2 linked regions of the Drosophila melanogaster genome follow. Changing the gene in region 1 together with any one later gene gives a genetic interaction. Each region holds a gene or a part of one and is shown in the gene's direction. Other genes may lie near its edges.

Region 1 (2,605 bases):
TGTCAATAGTAAAGTTAATTAGCGAGCTGGAAATCTATTCACCCTTGAGTAGATGCATTTCACTATAGACGTTCGCCAGGTGAATCATCTTATACGCTGTGTATAAGAGCGGAGTCTTCCCATTTTCTGTTTCCAGGTGCTTCTGGGATTGTCTCGAATTATTATATTTGCACTAATTGATCAGCGTTTCGCCAGACATGGAAATCTTTGCCTTTTAATTTAATTAAGTGTGGCTAGACATCTGCCAGTTAGTCAATCTTATCAGGCACTTAATCCACGCGTGCTATTATATTTATATATACATGTATATATATGACTTAGCTTTGATTTATAATGAAATATTAACGAATTCAAGTCAATGGGTATCGTAGAGCTGATATTATGTGTTTACTTATTCATGTAATATAATTTTCATGGTCTGAAGCAGGAAAATGATTGTCCAAATCATAAGACGATTGTTTAAAACAATATAATTTAAGACTAAACTATATTGGTTTTCCAAGGTTCAGTGCTACCGGGTAAACGCCTATTTTTGTTTTTAAACATATACAAGTCTGGCTCTATTCATCTTACAACGAATGAATTTAAGTACTGCAATAGTTATGGAATTTATTATTACCTTGAGAGTAATGGTGAAAAGCACACTCCCTAAGTCAATTTTTCACGGCCTAGCCGGAACTTTTAACTACAATATTTATTGCCAAGTTAGACTGTAATAAAATATTGTAATTTAAGAAGGAGTGCCTTTTAAGTATGTTTCTTACGCCACGAACCAGTCTATGAAGATGATATATGATTTGTTTTGTTAGAAACTGTTACGTTTATTTCGTTTTTCCCGCTCATCTGTAGATCATTGTTGTTCGCTTATTTTTGGACTGACTCGAATGCTGGTCACCAAACGGGTTTAAGATTCTCACAGAACCTTTAGATATTTACGCCTGAGAATTTACTGTGCTTCCCCAGGTCGACAAATTTAGATAGTAAAGTAAACCCAATCCTCTGGTAACATGCAGTTAATAAAGTGCGCAAAATCAATCTTGGGTCACTGATCACTTAAAATGTGTTGACTGGTCTGCATTCAACCGTAGGAGAAGTAAATCCCCATTCCGGGGGCTGGTCTCAAAATGTGATGGTAAAGATATACACGGAGAAAAATAAATCTTACATTTCTAGCTGCTTACAAATATTCAACGTCATTGAAAAAGAATATCGATGAATAATTTGAAGTAGCTTCTTTAATGAAGAATGTTGAGTTTTACCAAAATGTGAAATAATTACTTAAAATTTTGTTTTTTCGAAGACTTCCAACTGACGACTAAGTTTAAAAATCAATATATTATTACCTTATTAAGATTGAGCTCTAAATATAATTTAATACAAATGTACTATTATTACTCGGTTTTTAATTTTTATAATTTTTTGTAATTTCTGGAAGAATTGGGGGGTTTGTTTTCGACACGTCTGGGATTTCCGTTGACCTCAAGTTTTGGTGAAATCATCGGCGTCATATAATAATTGCCCTACGGGTTTAACTAATGATACTTGGAAAGCATATATAATGCGCTATAGAACACTTGCTCTTCACACGGGACATCCCCGGGTTATTTGCCTATTTATATAAAAGTTGGAGCCCAGGGTGTTTCGATTGCAGAAAGTGTTTGATCGTCCAATATGAAACAGTACCTGGTGCTTGCCCTCGTCTTTGCGGCCATTCTGGCCATGATCAGCGGCCATCCTCTGGAGGAACAAAAGATCACGCTGGAAGATGCTGAAGCACAGCCGGGAATCGATGATGGCACTGGAGTTAGGGCCGCTCGTCACTTTGGCGGCGGCTTTGGCCGCGGAGGATATTGCTGTGGAGGAGGCGGTGGCTTCCGGCGCGGTGGTTTCGGTGGCGGTGGTTACGGTGGCGGTGGTTACGGTGGCGGTGGCTATCCAGGTGGCGGCTTTGGCGGATATCCCAGAGGTGGATTTGGCGGCGGCAGTGCATCAGCATCGGCGTCAGCTTCAGCCAGTTCCAGTTGGGGACGTAAATAAAAATAGTTAATCACTGTAATTGAGGCGAAAATAGAAAAAAGTCAAAAAATGAAAACAAAAACATGGGACTTTTCATTGGGTGGCAATTGAGGGACTTTCGGTGTAAAGGGCGTGTCGGTTTGCTTACGCACTTAATCGCAAAAAATACAACGTAATCAAATGGAACCGGTCCGTAAACGCTAATCAATGAATACGATCCAAACACGATCGATATTCTACTTTTTCCACAAATGAAAAATCTTCCAAAGATTAAAATTCCGATAGTTCTAAGCCATTTAATTAAAAATAGCACATCTGGACCATAAATTTGTTGGTTTTTGTTTATAACATTGATCGCTAGATATGATAACTGTTGCGAAATGCTTGCACAACTGAAAGGAATCGCCAAAACTGGGATAATGTAACCTGTTTTCGAACAACACACTAATTGCCAAGTCAATAAAAAGCTAGTTCGATTAATTTCCAGATATGTGGGGTTGAGACAGGGTTTTTGCGGTTTTGTTTTGATGCACCCCCGACCAGCCTTGCGATCGATTTCTTAATGGAAAATTACCCCCAAGTTCCTGGC
Region 2 (5,144 bases), on another chromosome or scaffold:
ATAAGTGTATCGTGCGTTTTTAGTTTCCCCTGCAGGTTGAATTATTGTTCTTTTTTTTGGATTTACTTTCTGGTATTTACACAGTGGTAATGGGAGTCGAGTTTACACTTGGTCGATGTTTACCGAATCTAGTCGCTCGATTCGATTGTTCGACGGAATGGGAATTGGCCACCATATCATTGATTTAAAGGCGTTAGTTAAGGTTGTTCTGATATCAGACGGATTCCTTAATAAATGCACTGCAAAAAAAAAAGCAACGTAATTATAATCGTTAAGGAGGGGGAACAATGGCTTGGGTATTATTTGTTTATTTGTATTTATACGTATTTTTTTTTTTTTTGCTGGCCCAACTCGCTTCAGTAGTTTTCCCGAAGACGATGTGCGGGTGTTTTTTGTGATTATTAATTTATTTATTTGTTTTTTTTTTGAATGGGGTGCAACAGTTGTGCTGCAATCAGCACAAATAAATCTTTGTGGGTGATTCATAAGCTGTCAAATAAACGCATACAGCACTGCACAGCACAGCAAAAAAAATGTTGGAAAAAAAATAAAAATAAAAACACGATGTAGAACAAAATATTGGTATTGGGCAGAATGGCCGAAAAGCGCTCCGAATTACCTGCGCATTAACAATAACGGCGCGAATCGGATAGGGATACTATCCAATCCAACACTATCCAATCCCAATCCACTCCACGCTCTCTATATGTAAACTTAGCACACACGAACGCAAATTTACACTGGCATACATGAAATGCAATTATTATTATTATTATTATTATTATTATTTTTTTGTTTCCACGGTCTGTTTCAGATCCGGTTGCAGCTTATGCGAAGCTAATTAAACTAAAACTATAACTACAACTTTGTTTACACAACACACCGCTGGCCGAATGCAACGTCGAATTGTGCTAAAGCGAACCCATTATTTAAGATTTCATTAAATCCGCGACGTTTTTTCCTCCAGGGCACATCATCTGATGTTGATGGTTTTTCTCAAACTTTGCGCTTATTTTTACCGGCACACGGCGCAATCTGTTTGGCTTTGGACTGGGTACGAACTTGTACTTGTACGGTACACCGATAGAACAACATATCCGACGGATAGCGACGAACAAACGGAACGGGATGGGTTTGGCGGATGGCGGATGGTGGATGCGGATGTGGATGGAAATTCGGTACGAGAAGAAAAAACCGCAATTCGATTATATCTTATGGCTGGCGTTTGTTTTAATTTTAACTAATGTTAACTAGCTCTCGCAATCGAAATAACACAGACAGACGCAAGCGATGGCATAAACAGAACTACCAATAAGAAATTATCTCAAAATGTATTTCAGGCAAAAAGTAAAACAGTAAAAGCTCTTCTCATTGAGCATTCGCATTCGCACTCGGCTGCTTCCATCGAAAAATTTTTCGAAACTGAAAGCAGAAATATATTTTTCTGGCCATTCCAATTCGACTCGAAACTCTCTCGCTCTCTTCCTCGCTCTCTTTGTGCGCGGTTCCAATCGGAACCAATTGTGGAACCTAAGAGAGCGTTAATTCTAAGATTTTACATAAAGAGAATCCGTTTTTCTCTTTCATTTTCATACATTTTTATGTTTTCTCTTCCCCTAAATTATGTTAAAAGCTTTAATACCAAAGCTTCACTTTATTTGACAGCTGATTCAGCTGAAGGTGATTGCCGCCCTTTTTTGAACTCCACTAAAAAATGCCTATTTTGGTATATTTGATTAGGTTATCTGTTGATTACAATATATTTAAGCTGTTTGTCCAATTAGCGAAGATATTTAAAAAGTTTATTTCACTTTTTGATATGCTTTTAATTTAACTTTTAAATTAGACTGTGTTCCTGTTCGGAATACGGTCACACCGGAACAAAAACATAAACAGACCTTTGAATGCATTCCACTGTGCAGTCAAAAGTAATAAATATAAGCTCCTCAGTTTTATACGTCAAACTATCGCTTAAGCAATGTATAAAATTAGTTTATAAGTTGGTTACATTTTAGTTTATTCTCTTTTAATGGCTCTAAGTGACTATTAAATCCGTGTTGTGGTAGCTCTTTGGTTGGCTTGAATAGCCAGCAGTAACTAAATATAAAAATAAAGAAAGTAATTGAGAGACTTGGAGGGAAGAACAGCGCATACGCGAGAGTGGTCGAGTGAATGTTTACAGCGCATGAATTAGGTTTTGGTGGTTTATCTGAGTACCTCTAGCCCCATGACTAATGCTTAAAGATGGGCTGACTTGGGTGTAATCACCTGCCTCTACAGGTTTATTATCAAACACGGTGCAGTGTTGCAGTTAACTGCTTAGCATTAAAGCCCAATATAGGCAAGAGTGTTGGAAAGCTCATCTTTTCCAGCACTGGGTGCATTGTACCTCCAGTCGATTTGATTGGTGAACCAAACTGGTTATATTTTAGCCAGTGATAAGGGGTTTTCGGATCTGGACAAAGCATTTGTATGTTTATATATTTATATATATTATATTTATTTATTTATATATATTTATTTACTTATTTATTTATTTATATATATTTATATATTTTCATAGAACAATATATATATGTATACAGAAATATATGTCCAAAACGGTTAAAGAGGGATAATTTAAACTATTTTTTTTTGTTCGTATTTAAATTTTTGTAAGCTTTATATGGTTAATCAAATACTTATCGAAATCTGAAACTCAACTAGTGGATGCGGCCCACTGTATGTACGATACCGCTAAGCTCCCTTCAAAGGCAGTGGAATTGTTCTAAATGCGAACATCGATAATACTTATCGATATCTAGACTGATCCTCGATATCCATGACAATAATTAATACACATGACTAAATATGCAAAAAAAAAGCCCCAAGTGGACTGATATGCAAAAAAGCATTTCACCACGGCACCTGCGCATATAATGGTGGATAGCCTGTGGAACGTCCTTATCTTATCGTGTAAGGTGGACACGACACGAACACTAATCAGAGAATAGAGCAGTTCTAACTCACAATATTGATAAACAAAGTAAGGGCCAGCCGAGAGATACACGCGCATTTATTGGCAGCAAACAGAAGCCAAAACTACGGACATGTCCGAATCGGGAATCAAAAAGTTGAGCCAGGAGCGGACTCGCGAATGGTTGGCTAGTCAGGAGGACGAGGAACTGGAGTCCATTGCAGAGTCCTCGGTTGTGGACAGCTTGGACTACGATTATACCGAGGAAGAGGAGGATGCCGACCAAAATACCAGTGAAGAAATCAGCACTATGACACTAGGCACTCAAATCGGTGCGTAGTACTCAAGATCAAGTTTCTATATTCAATTTATAACACTTTCAATATATCCCCACCTTAAAGCTACCAAAAAGCATTCGATCATCAGCGACACCATAAGGGACCTTATGAACTCGATCAACAGCATTCAGACTTTGGGCAACGTTAATATAAGCAACTCCACGAACGTCCATATCGGCAATGTTACCAATATTAATGGAAATATACAAATCATAGCCGATGGCCTTACTCAAAACCGAAGAGATCGGCGGCATGTTTCACCACCGAGAGATAACGCTCCCAAAACTCCGACACATTTCGAAGACGACTATCAGGACGAGTCGGAGGAGAGGGTGCGCTCGGATGTGTTCATCAGGCGCCAGAGTAAGCTATCATTCACCAGGGGATGCATACACGTTAACCATAGGATACCGATTTCACTTACAGAATTCAAAATACCCAAGGAGCTGTCCGCCATCATTCCGCGCTCTTCGTGGCTAGCACAGAAGCCCATGGACGAGCCACTGCCCTTGCAACTGCCTGTTAAATATGTGGTTATCTGTGAGTATTCAAGTTTGCTGCACGTTTTAACCATTTTTTTGCCAACTGATTATAAATCAAGTTGTCTGTAAAAGTATGACGCAATAATTAAAACAATTTATACTATTTGATCTGACCATCATGCTTAGCACTCACTAACCTAAGATTATATCGTATTATAACTCTTTTCGAATATATTTAAAACCTTGATTAACAAATATTGTTTTACCACGCAGTACACACAGCTACAGAGAGTTCAGAAAAGCGGGCGATCAACGTAAGACTTATCCGTGACATGCAGGTAAGTATTTCGTTAGCGAAATTAAATCATATATGCTCCGAACTATATAATAATTATGTATATATATTTCAGTGCTTCCACATTGAGTCGCGGGGATGGAATGACATTGCGTACAACTTCCTGGTCGGCTGCGATGGCAACATCTACGAGGGACGCGGATGGAAAACGGTGGGCGCCCACACTCTGGGTTACAACAGGATCTCGCTGGGGATCAGTTTCATTGGATGCTTCATGAAAGAACTCCCGACGGCAGACGCCTTGAATATGTGCCGCAATCTGTTGGCCCGCGGCGTTGAGGATGGTCACATATCCACCGACTATAGATTAATTTGTCACTGCCAGTGCAATTCGACGGAGAGTCCTGGTCGGCGATTGTACGAGGAGATACAGACATGGCCCCACTTTTACAATATCGAGGAGGAGGAACAATGAGGGACAAAAGAAGAGCACCATTTCACATACTTAGACTTAAATGCACCCGAGTTACGTTTATAATGTTGAACATTAAATCACCTGTTTATAAATTTTCCAGCTACTGGCAGTTTCGTTAAGTTACTTTATATTTTGGTATAGTTTTTGCAGCGCTGAAAGGTGGAAAAACCACAAGATGTTTCGGAACCAACATCGCCTACCTGTTTTAATTCACAACTGAAAGAGAAGCAACAATTATACTGCACAAATATGAGCGAGCTAGCACCACATAAATACAGACAATAGTAATGCATTTGCTGAAAACAATCTATAATTAAACAAAAATTTGCGTACAGTCAAGTAAACAATTAACAATTAGAAGTGATTTTCTTTAAGCTTTGGCGGAGCCGAATACTTTTCCTTAACGTGAGCACGGTACTCCTCGTCATCATCGTGGCACTCCTTATAGCATAGAGTGCAAAAGAGTTCCCCACCACATCCGTGGCATCGGAAGTCGGCGTCTTCGTTACAAATATTGCACCAGGGCAATTCTTCGGTGTTGCCGGGCGACTCAGTGTTAATTGGACTAATTTCACTCTCGGAAGGTTCTGGTAAGCGC

What was found.
Region 2: of Listericin (region 1) and PGRP-LE, changing one suppresses a phenotype caused by changing the other (phenotypic suppression), as found in Drosophila melanogaster (one study listed by BioGRID).

The regions. Positions count from the first base shown.
Region 1 is NT_033778.4:11,241,233-11,243,837, reverse strand, and holds Listericin (listericin), read left to right. Parts: upstream 1-1,643; 5' UTR 1,644-1,671; coding exon 1,672-2,037; 3' UTR 2,038-2,093; downstream 2,094-2,605.
Region 2 is NC_004354.4:15,800,653-15,805,796, reverse strand, and holds PGRP-LE (peptidoglycan recognition protein LE), read left to right. Parts: upstream 1-1,916; 5' UTR 1,917-2,470; intron 2,471-2,706; 5' UTR 2,707-3,089; coding exon 3,090-3,288; intron 3,289-3,357; coding exon 3,358-3,657; intron 3,658-3,720; coding exon 3,721-3,834; intron 3,835-4,049; coding exon 4,050-4,114; intron 4,115-4,186; coding exon 4,187-4,546; 3' UTR 4,547-4,644; downstream 4,645-5,144. Other genes in the region: CG15602 (uncharacterized protein), read right to left, coding at 4,901-5,144. UniProt on the Drosophila melanogaster protein: Peptidoglycan-recognition protein that plays a key role in innate immunity by binding to murein peptidoglycans (PGN) of Gram-negative bacteria and activating the imd/Relish pathway. Has no activity against on Gram-positive bacteria.